Linked DNA regions of Drosophila melanogaster. The protein of the gene in region 1 purifies or fractionates together with the protein of each later gene. This does not show direct contact. Each region holds a gene or a part of one and is shown in the gene's direction. Other genes may lie near its edges.

The links.
Region 2: the proteins of Top1 (region 1) and Topors purify together in Drosophila melanogaster (affinity purification with western blotting, with the first as the bait; one study listed by BioGRID). This does not show direct contact.

Annotation. Positions count from the first base shown.
Region 1 is NC_004354.4:15,317,799-15,322,676, forward strand, and holds the start of Top1 (topoisomerase 1), read left to right. Parts: upstream 1-1,693; 5' UTR 1,694-1,982; coding exon 1,983-2,009; intron 2,010-2,155; exon of another isoform or gene 2,156-2,239; intron 2,240-2,570; exon of another isoform or gene 2,571-3,219; coding exon of another isoform or gene 3,220-3,234; intron 3,235-3,355; coding exon 3,356-3,573; intron 3,574-4,062; coding exon 4,063-4,878. UniProt on the Drosophila melanogaster protein: Releases the supercoiling and torsional tension of DNA introduced during the DNA replication and transcription by transiently cleaving and rejoining one strand of the DNA duplex.
Region 2 is NT_033778.4:18,970,854-18,977,959, forward strand, and holds Topors (topoisomerase I-interacting protein), read left to right. Parts: upstream 1-1,758; 5' UTR 1,759-2,085; exon of another isoform or gene 2,086-2,144; 5' UTR 2,145-2,473; coding exon 2,474-2,869; intron 2,870-2,929; coding exon 2,930-3,390; intron 3,391-3,457; coding exon 3,458-4,872; intron 4,873-5,039; coding exon 5,040-5,884; 3' UTR 5,885-6,409; downstream 6,410-7,106. Other genes in the region: prod (proliferation disrupter), read right to left, coding at 1-155; CG15107 (uncharacterized protein), read right to left, coding at 738-922, 976-1,333, 1,392-1,580; CG18605 (uncharacterized protein), read left to right, coding at 6,975-7,087. UniProt on the Drosophila melanogaster protein: Functions as a ubiquitin-protein E3 ligase. Negatively regulates the transcriptional repressor hairy/hry by promoting its ubiquitination and subsequent degradation. Also directs the nuclear organization of the gypsy chromatin insulator.

The DNA of each region.
Region 1 (4,878 bases):
AAGGGTTTCATCGATGTGATATGTAACTACTGTCCTGGCAGTCAGCTCAAGCCCCAACATACAAAGTGTCCCTAATTCGTACCAACCAATAGAACCAATAATTCAGGGTTACTTCTCGTTCGGTCAACTGATGGGTAACTGCTGCGGTACAGTTTAGGTACAGATACAGATACGGATAGATAACCTTTAACCCCAACTTATGAGTGAGCCTGAGACAAGCATACTTTAGATACCCTGCCCACATGCACACACTCACATATATATATATATATATATATATATATGTACATATATACACTGTTTGTTCAGTTTGTTGTTTTTAACTTCCTGTCCCACGTAGAAGGACTTTTACATGCATGTAGAACTAGTTACCGTTACCGTTTCCGTTTCCGATTTCGTTTAGAATGTTAGACACATACATATTTAGTAGCTTAATCCAATCACAGCTGATTCTTTTGAACACAACTTGTTATTTGCTGATCCCAATTTTCTAAAACAAAAAGATGGTAGAACAAATATGAATAGAAAAGAGTCACGTCAATTTGCATCGAAAGCGGAAACGGCAACAAACACCCACAAAGGATTAAGATAATGATATAAGTAATGATTAGCGTAAATGGGAGGATTTAAACAATTATTATGCTAAATGAAATATACTATTAAAAACCTATGTACCATACGTTGTGCGTAATGCCCAAACTAAACGTGATAAAAGACTGTTACCAACTACATACACACATACATAATACCGAGATGGAAACAACCGTAAATCTAAAACTAAAACCTAAACTTAAATCGGCATAGTTTCGCATGAAAAGGTAATATATACATACATACATAAATATAACAAATATATTCATACGCGCACTAAAAGGAAGCGTTGCATAGTTTAATTACATTTACCGTACGAACACTTTTTATAGATGTTTAATGTTGTTATGGTTAAGATAAATCCGGACGAATTGATGGATTTTGGCCAAGCACGGTGCACTGCATATATGTAGCAAGTGAGCCAAGTACAATTTACACAAATGTATACATAATTAGATGCATATATGGTTCGATGTAAACTAATAATAAATCGATGTAAAAGCGTAAAAACGGAAGTTAAGAAACCACACACACACACAAACACACACACCCACAAAAACCAGAAAAAGCTGAGGCGACAAAAATATGAGAACTCTGTTAAATGTTTGTTATGCATTTGTTTTTTTTTTTATCTAAATTAATATTAAACTAATGTATTAGTGAATAAACTTGTGTACCTACATACAAAACAATGATAAAGCAGTTATGGCGGTGGTTTTATTTGTTTTTCTTCCAAAATAATAATTGCAAGAGCTGTACGAAAGTAATAAATTACTTCGATGCCAGAACGTTAAATAATTTCTTTAAATGTTTTATATTTCATTTTGTGGCATTCAATGCTTATTTTTTTTTTTTTGAACGTTTGGCGCTGCATTTACCACAATCAGTGATTTAAGCAAATAGTGGGGAAAACCCTTTTGTGAAAGTGAAAAAAAGTTAGCTTTTTCTTAAAGTTATTCTAGATTTCGTATCAATTCAGTGCTCAGACTATCGAGAAAGAGTGAACATCTATCGACAGGCTAGTATCGACACGGGCACCGACGGTCACACTGTCCGAATCCGAACTATCAGCCTATCGCTCTCCGATAGCAGCAGTCGCTACTTGTCCGAACCAATCGCCTATCGGGGAGACTGCGTGGCTGCTGCGTTCCGTAAAACGCAAAGAAGCCAAAAAGCAAGGGCATTCGCATTGACCAAAGCACCAAACGCTGCTCCTTTTCGAAAAACTTCAGTGCGCTTTTATTTCCCCGCCGCTGTCACCGCTTTAAGGAGCACCAACATCTAATTATTGAAAATCCTAACGAACAGTTTAGTCGAACAGTGTAAAAGCGTGAAAAGAAAAGAAAGGAACGAATAAAATAAAAGAAAAACCGCTAAGCGAGTTCCGCAAAATGAGTGGGGATGTGGCTGCCGAAAATGTAAGTGCCCTAAACGAAATATCCATTCCTTTTTTATGTAATGTGCAAACGTGTTGAATGGGGGGACTTTGCCTGCCGCCTGCAGCCTGCCTGTCAGTCCCAAAAAATCAAGTTAAATTCTGAACCGCATAATTGTAGGGTGCACAGGATAGTTGCAAGTGTACCGCTCGCTGCTGGCAGCTGGCAGCGACGCCGACAGCGCTGCCAGCAGAGTGCGTAAAATACAACGAGCAGAGAAAAAAAAGTAAGAAGAGGTCTTTTGGTAATTGACGAAAATGGCGACAATGCAAGTGGGAAAAGGTGAAGGATGGTGTGAAGCAGGGAGGGGAAGAGCCGAGGCAGACGAAATGTATTTGGCACAGTGTGGCCGCAGCTGGCTGGTATTTTAATCAAAACTGGTATTTTCACCAGCCACTCGAACGTTGCCTTTCCACATTTTTCCCCCTCAAAAACACCCTTTAACTAACTCATTTCCCTGCATTTCCACTGCAACTTGCCTTATTTACGTTCGCATAGCGTCTCAATTTCCCTGTTCTTCGTAGATTACCACCAAGTTTGGTCACACTGCCCTCTTCCACACACATAATATCACATGTGTTTGCTGCTGTTGTTGTTGTTGTTGTTGGTTGTGGACCGCTGCTTTCATGTACATATGTAATTGCAAGTGTCCCATTTTGCAATTACACTTCTACATGCACATACATATACGAAGGTGTTCCGTCGTCTGATAAGACAGATGTGCCACCCCAAAACAGCCAAAAACAAATAAAAGCATTAACTAGAAAATGCTCCGGATGAATAATATGCAACCACAATAACAACAATAACCCCGTGGGGATGTGTTTGTGTGTGTAGCTGTTAAAAAAAAAAAAAAAAATGCAAAAAGTGTAAAAAAAAAGCAACGATTTTCTGTATTCTAAACGACTCTTGTGCGTGTGTGGGTGTCATTGTTTGGCAAGGTGTTTTTTAAATATATATTAACCTATTCCAAGTGATTCGGAAACAATTTTCAATTTCCTGTCGCCATCGCTCGGCGGCTCTTCTTCTTCGATTAACCCATTGCTGGTAGTTTAAAGTGAATTTTCCTACGCGGCATTTGTTAGGGTTGATTTTCACCACGTGGTGAGCGGATAGACACGAGATAATAGCCAATCATCGCCAGAAATCGAGAGGAAATCGAGTAGATCCACAAGCGACCAGTTGGGCCAACATGACGGATGCACAGGTTTCTGGCCCGGATTCACTCTCACTTTTCAGCTGGTCCATCTACATATATACGTACTAACTAACTGATACCATCTCCCTTTCTTCTTTCTTCCATCTCGCCATCTCTCTCGCGCCCGCAGAGCATCCACATACAAAATGGTGGCAGCTGCGAGGTGGTTCAATCCAACGGGGTGACCACCAATGGACACGGACACCACCACCATCATCACCACAGCAGCAGCAGCAGCAGCAGCAGCAAGCATAAATCCTCCAGCAAGGACAAGCATCGTGATAGGGAGAGGGAGCACAAGAGCTCCAATTCCTCCAGCTCGTCGAAGGAGCACAAGAGCAGCAGTCGGTACGTATGTAGGAGCAGATCGATTTGACTCGACTCTATGCGATTCGATTCGAATCGGGCCACTCGTGTCGAACCATCTGGAACAGTCCAAATAGGTCAAAGTCAGGAAAGGACAATGTAATCACCTGGGATTCATAATAGTGCTTACATTAAGAGACAGTTGTTCCCCATGTGCTCATTGTTATAGTTCTTATAATCAATTTACAGTGCCAAACTAATGAAATGTAGGTAGCTATCACTTTAAAGGTATTCCGTCTAAAATGGCCTAAGTTTCTATGTTCAGTTCCTAAGTAATTTAAATTATCTCCCAAGAAAGCGACTTTAGATAGAAGCTGGAAGAAAAGGTGCATATGTATATAGAATGAGAAACTGCAATCAGACCAGATAATTCAATATTATATACAGAGTAATGCTTTTTTCAGAGCTATAGATTAGGCTATAACATTTCACAAGGAATCCAACTAATAACCCTAACCTTTTACATTTTAGCGACAAGGATCGACACAAGAGCAGCAGTTCGTCGTCAAAGCATCGGGACAAGGACAAGGAGCGCGATGGCAGCAGCAACTCGCATCGCAGCGGCTCATCGTCCAGCCACAAGGATAAGGATGGGAGCAGCAGCAGCAAGCACAAGTCGTCGTCGGGCCACCACAAGAGGTCCTCGAAGGATAAGGAGCGACGCGATAAGGACAAGGATCGCGGCAGCAGTTCATCCAGTCGGCACAAGTCCTCGTCCAGCTCCCGTGACAAAGAGCGCAGCAGCAGCAGTCACAAGAGCAGCTCCTCTTCATCCTCATCGAAGAGCAAACATTCCAGTTCGCGGCACAGCAGCTCATCTTCCTCGAAAGACCAGCCATCGTACGATGGCGTATTTGTTAAGCCGGAGCCCGTTTCCCAACAGCTGATGCACTCGGGCTCGGTGGATGCTTTCCAGATGCAACAGCTCGGTAGCTACGAAGCCGCAGCCGCCGGCACCAATTTTAATGGCAATGGAAACGTTGCCGGTGCCAACTATAAGAACGGCTACGAGGAATCGATCGTAGACATCAAGAAGGAGGAGGAGAGCTTTAACAATCTGTCGCAAGCCAGCTCCTGTGACTACTCCATGTCCCAGTTTCGTGCCGATGAGCCGCCGTTTGTGGTGAAGCACGAGCAGAGCTACGCCGAAGAGGACAGCACCATGAACTACAATGATCACGACGACGACGCCGACGAGATGAACGACGACGAGGAGGATGTGCCGCTGGCCATGCGCAAGCGCAAACAGGAGGCAACCGATCGTCCTGATGGCGGCATGGATAACGA
Region 2 (7,106 bases), on another chromosome or scaffold:
GAGAGCTCCTTCCACTTTTTGGTCAAGTAGTTCAGGTCATAGTCGCGCGGCACTCGTCCGGTGGCGAAAATGGGGTCGCTCTCCATCATGTCGATGTACATTTGGTACTGCTCCGATGAGGTGCGTTTCTTGCGGCGGTCCATCTTGCCGTTCATCCGGGTATCCTTGCTCTGTGCCTGCGTGCTCGATGCCGTGTTTAAATAGCTGGCAAAAGCCCTAAAATGCAAATCGACGCCACCAAGCGATGCGAGATGTTCACAAACAATTTACGCATTTAGCGTTTGGGATTTTCTAGTTGCATTTTGTTGCTGTTGGCGCAGGGTTGCATTCGGCACGCCAGTGGTGCGCATCTGGCGGGAAGCCAAAAAAGCAATTAGATGCCATGCGATAGTTATGGCTAGATGTGCAATAAATAATTCAATTTTGTTGCAATAAAAACATGCGGATTCAGAAATGATTTGTCACAATATTTATTAGCGGTTTCATATAAATCAATAATACATTTCAAAATATATGTGCAAAAAGTATTTCGTCGAACGATATGCATAACAACAGTCTTAAAAACGACTAATTGGTATATGGTACACACTACTCAAGAATTTGTTTTCAACGAATGCCTACTGTACTACTTATTGAGCGTTCCGCGGCTTTTAATTCGAGGCGAAATCAGCAGGTCCCTCTGAGCTCACATATTATATTACATTATACATTATATCAATGTGCATGGCTAGCATGGGCTATAATTCCGGAACGTACTCGAATCCGGGATTATTGTACTTGAAGCGGGCTATCTTAAAGTGCAGCGATGCCTCGTGTATGTCCGAAATGCGTTTCAGCTGCTCCTGGATTTTCTCTCCATAGAAGGCAGACGGTTCTTTCGCGGCAGATTGATCAGATGTGACATCCGCGACTGAAATCAAGGCTATGTCCCTTTATAGGATATTTAGTATTTACATTAGATTTGCGTCTACCCACCTTCGTAGATAATCTCACTGGAACCATCGAGCCTTAGCTTTTTCGCGGCACTGTGACCATTGATGATCGTTGGGTTGGCTTGCTCGTGAGGCTCTGCTATGAACTGCTGGTACTGCACCTCCTCCTCCTCCTCCTCATCCACCAACTCCTCCAGGTTCTCATTCTCTTCTTCATCCAGTTCCTCTTGCTCCTCCATCAGTTCGTGCAGGCGCATCGAAATTCCCTCGCGAAAATTCGGTTCTAAGGAGAAGATCTGCAGGGCTCTGTTCTCCAGAGGAGTCATTGCATTGCTCTTGTCATCCGAGTTGATGCTGCGTCGGTATTTGGAGCGCGTGCTGTTCTTCCAGTCGTTGAGGCGCTATAAGCATGACACACTGTGGGCTTGTACACTCGATACCCAACTGGTTACAACATACCTTTCGCCATTCCTCGGGCGACAAAGTGGGACCCGTGGAGCACTTGTTTAGCAGATCGCTGAGCTCCTTCCACTTCTTGCCGTCCTGGGTGCGACTCAGTTTGTTGGCCGACATCGGGGGATTCTCCTCCATGAAGTCTAGGTATACTTCGTATTGGTAGTACGACGTCCGCTTGTTGCGTCGATTCATTTTGGGGATCCAAATTATGACCAACAATTGAAAACAAACAAATTGAAACAGACGCCACAAAAAGGCAATAAAGCAACGAGCTATCGATAACACAAACAATTAAGGCTCCGAAATTAAATACCAAAACCGAAATACCAAACTATTTTAGAAAATATCAAAATAATTGTTTGGTTCTCCTAGGTTCGAAAAGAAGTTTCTTGGAATTTGTAATTTACCCGCGCCACAATCTCACAAGATTGTGTAATACATCTAAAAATATTTATTTTTCTCAAAATATCACATTTCAATTTATAAAATAAATTGGTCTAGTTCTTTAAGCATTTTTTGTGTATTTCGTAATTTTTGTAACAAAGCTAGTCCTGCTTTTTCAATCAAGTTCAATCAGAGGGTAGAACAGCTAGTAGAACCGCTGACTCAACATATTTTCCAAACCTTTTTTATTTAAAATTTGTATTCTGAAGTAATTCAAAAGTATATCAATCTCCGTGGTCTGCAGCATTTAACTGTACGCGACGAACGGTATCACCGTAGTGGTCAAAAAAATCAAGTTTCCTGCATTTTCAGGTGTAAAATTAACTGAGATATAGTGCGATTTCTGGCCCGAAAATTGTGCTATTTTACAGAACAGGCCACTGACCACCACATAGACCGCAAGAGAATACGGATAATGCGTCCCCTAGCCCGGAAAAGGCCGCTGGAAAACGAGGATTGAGAACCGAATTGCGAACCAGATGATAGAGTAGCGTGCCAGCCAGCGAGTGCGAGCGAGAGAGGGCGAGAGGAGCAGAGTGAGAGAGAGAGGAGGACAGAGTAGACACAAAACTTCAGGCCCGAGTTCTCGCCCATCTTACGGCCGATTTTACAGCCCATATAGCCGCTATATAGTCGCCAGAATGGCGGAGGAGAATCCCGGAGCTCTTGCCGCCAACGTGCCCTATTTGGGAGTGGATGAGTTGGGCGCATCGGTGATTGTGGAGCCTGGTTTGGAAGGATCCAATGCCGGAGGCCGGACGCTACCGGCTGCGGCCATTAAGTTTGCTGATCTCACCGAGAGCGGCAGTGAGTCGGGAGACAACGAGGCCGAGGAACCTGTATCCGCTGGCCCGGATAATGCCAACGCCATCGGTGAGCCGGGCACCAGTGCATCCGCCGCGGAGGAGAACGGAACAGTAGAGCGCAACTCGCCGCCGCCCAATTGCGCCATCTGCTTGTCCCGCTGCAGGAGGAAGTGCTTCACGGACTCGTGCATGCACCAGTTCTGCTTCAAGTGCCTGTGCGAGTGGAGCAAGGTAACCAGTCCGCAGGCGAGTAAACCATTATTTTAACCATCTAATTATTCTCGATTGCAGATAAAGCCCGAGTGTCCACTGTGTAAGCAGCCCTTCAGAACCATCATACACAATGTCCGCACCCTGGACGACTACGATCGCTACCCGGTGCAGACTACGTCGCCGGTTCCAACAGAAAATCCCTCCCTACGTTACCACATTGTGAGGCGTCCCAGGTACACGCCGCTGGTGCAGAACCAGGCCGTCATTGTCAACGACATCGAGGCGGCCATAGCGGCAGGAGCTGCTGGTGAAGATGTGCTTTCGGCGGCAGAAGTAGCAGCTGGCAGGCGATCGTACAGCCGCTTTGAGCCGTATCGCTCGGAGCTGATGAATTACTACCAGCACGATCAGGATGCATCCACGTCGGGTTCATTGAGCCAGCTCTGGCGACGTTATGTGTACGATAGAAAGCTGTATGCTCTGCCCGTCAGCGACAGCGTGACTGGACACTTTCGAGAGTGGAGCGCCCGTTTTTACAGGTCTGTTCGTATACCTAAAACCGCATACTTAACCATACTGATTTCGATTTCAAATCCTTGCTTATAGAAACAATCCTGCTCAGATTCATCGCCTGATGCCTTGGATCCATCGCGACATCATGTGCCTACTGAGGAATGCCGCACATAGCGTAAATACTGTGATGACTCTGATGAGCGACCTCCTGCCCATGACTAGCTTACTAGGTCCTACATTCCGTCGACGGCTGTCGCCGTATCTCGGCGAGCGCACCAGTCACTTTATCCACGAACTGTTTAACTTTGCCCGCTCCCCGTATGACATAAACGGTTACGATCATGTGGTGCAGTATTCGGCACGAGTGGCTGAGGAGGTGGAGGTGGATCTGTTGGACATGGTGGAGACACAATCCTCGAACGGTGATGATCTGAATTTGGAGGTCGGAGATAGCGATGCGGATGCTATAAACGCTGGCTTCTCTCCGGATTGGAGCCCCCCTAGGGTACGCCCGTCGACCAGTGTGATTGTGACCAATCCTGGTGCCACACATTCCTTCAGCGTGACAATGGCCAGTGATGGCAGTGAGCTGCCGGGGATTTCCATACGCCGTACAACCAATGTGGGCTCACAAACGGTTGCCATTAACCTGAGCATGAGGCGCCCAGCGGCGGTTGCCAGCGAGGAACCAGAGGTCATCGAGATCGACGACGGCGATGCGGCCGCAAATGCAGAGGTGGCGGCCATCAATGATGGCAGCAACACCAGTAGGAGACACGCAGGTGCTACTCTTCCAGTGACGGCGCACATCGAACTGGAGAGCAGCAGCAGTTCCGGCGATGAGGATGAGTGCGTCTTTGTGCTGGAGCTGAAGCCACCACACATGCGCACTCCCGAACAGGTGAGCCTTGACTCAAATAGTGACTCCGATGTGGTGTTCGTAAATGAGCAGCACGAAGCTGCGCCGGACGCAATTGCCGAAAACCGGTCGACACAATCCCCTTTGGATCTGGCCTCCAGGGATCAGGGCCTGTTTATGGGGCCCAGCACAAGTGGCGCAGCGGCCAACAGAGGCAAGAACTGGAAGCTGGTCATGGCGCAGACACGGCGCCTCGATCAGTTGCGCACGCTGCGCTCTATACGTTCGAAGAAATCACGCCGTTCATCCATGCCTGCCCGCAGTGACAGTGGCAGCAGCCCCAGCAGCTGCAGCAGCTCCTCCTTTCACTTCAGCAGCAGCAGCGATGAGGATAGCAGTGACAGTAGTACCACCAACTCCGAGCCACCCAAGAAAAAGTCACGCAAGCGAGTGGCGAATAATAAGCGCTCTAAAAAGGAGTCAATCGGGAAAAGGACATCTCGTAAACGGAAGGCCAAAGACCAGAATATGGAAATGCTTGAGCAGCAGCAGATAAGCCAAAAGAAGCCCCAGCGCCAACCGGAAAGCAGCAGTGACAGTCCAAGTTCGTCCGATGACGAGTCAGGTGGCGATAGCAGCGAGTCATCCGGTAAGTGGTTTGTGAATCTAGACGGTTCTTATCAGCATGTATGAATGTATGTATAACACCACACATTCTGAACAGGAAAACACTAGAATGATCTCTAAAAACAATCAAAAAACTATTTATTATCCTATCAGATCAAACTTGTATAATTACACAAATTTGTTTTCTAGGTCAACCCAACACGAACAACAACAAATCCAGCAGCGATTCCGATGATGATAGCGCTGTAAACATGCAGCTCAGTGCCTTGCGCGCCACACTAAAAGCGGAGGCAACTCTGGAGGATAGGAAACCTGTAAAACTGGAGCTTCAGTTGCCGGATGACGACCAGGCGGGGCCCCTCCACTCACGGATGACTCCATCGCCGAGAGAGGATAACGAACCGGGTTGCAGTGCACCGAAACGGCGACGCAGTTGCAGCCACAGCAATCAGTCCAGCCAGAGTGCCAGTTTGGCCAGCAGTTCGACAGCCACCTCGAGCTCGGCTCCATTAAGTTCGTTTGCCTGGGGAGCAGCGGGCTTTTCCGGCGATCCGCTGATGCGCGGACATCCGGCGATGGAAGAGCACGACATAGCCAACTCCCTAATCGAACTGTCCACTCTAACGCAGCCTGTGAACATCGGACTCTTCAACGAGCATTATAATTCGGCAGAGAATTCCATGGGCATGCTGAGCAACACGTTGTGCGACAGCCCACAAACTTTGGCGGCGGATGACGCCAATCTAGAGAACTATTTCGATACAGATGCGGATCCGGAGGCCAGCCGTGAACGGGATGCCTATTCGCTGGAGGCCGCAATCGATGTAGTTGGCGAATCAGAGTTGCAAATCGCCGAGGATACAGCCACTGCCACCGAAGAACAAGATGAGGAGGACGAAGAGGATGAAGATCAAGAGGAAGACGACCAGGAAGAGGAAAAAGCTGCGGAGGAAGAAGAGGAAGAGGAGGAGGACGACGATGATAGCGACAACCACGATGAAAACGATGAGAATCAGGGACTACTGCCGTATTAAGCATAAGCCACTGATTTAGATTTTCATTTAAGTTGCTAGTGTAAGGGAATGTTTAACTGGTTTCCGTCTTGTCTTGTTCCGATTCCTGAAATCCCCAAACCCCATAAAATAATATTTGTAATTGTAACTCATGTATTGTAGGCCTAAGATTGCCATTTTAAGTTGTACATACATATATAAACACCCATCCCAACATTATTTAAATGTTCTGTCATACATACATATACCACCCCCCCCCTTCCACATCAAAAGACGCATTCAATATCCCCCTGAAGAACATCGATTGTAAATGTATTCACGTAGGTTAGCGGCATCTATAACTAACTAACTATAAACAATGGCAACTAACTTTACTATCGTAGCTTTTAAATCGTAGAATTAGCGCTGATCAATGTATGAGGAGGGTGTTAATGTTTTTTGCATAAGTGGGCGTGGCCAGTTATGAATTTTAGTGTACTCAACATACAATGAACAAAAGATATCTGTAATACGAATCAAATACATAATAAATGTAAAGATTAAATTAAAGATAAATAAGTGTCATTTCATATTTCGTAAAGTTCTAAAAGTAATTCTCATTGGATCAAGGATGCCCCCCGGCATAGGCACCTTGCGCATTTTTTTTTTTGTTAAATTTATGCATATTTTGTTTCAATTCAATGTTTCCAGTGATTTCAGAGTATATTCGATTTCCGATGTCCCGATTTGTCACGATTTGCAGGTTAATTTATGGCATTGTCTAAACAGTCCCTTACTTTCCACACTTGACATTAGGCATCGTGTAGATGCGCCCCAAATAAAAACGTGCCACAGAGCCGTTGTGCCTGCGCAATAAGCAAAACTTTTTCGCTGAGTTTCAATTGGAATTGTTTAAAGAACGAGCTAATTGTTTAATTCCTATAAGGTAAATACTGTATCATATTGCACAGCTGGAAAAGTTCCATTTCGCGAGCGACAGTGAGCAGTGAAATCAGTATTAAATCGAATTTGTGATTGACAATTCCAGGAATTTTCGTTCACGTGTAAAGTTTCTGTTTCTGTTTTTTCTTCGAACAATTTCGACATTGTCGACACGTGGAGTGCAGCAACAATGATGCCACGGCACATGGTCCAATGGCGCATATATGTCTACGCCAATTCGCTATATTCTCTGCCGGATCGTGAAACGGGCGACTTTCGCGGCTGGTCCCCCGAATATTTCCGGTGAGTGAAAATTTCCTCC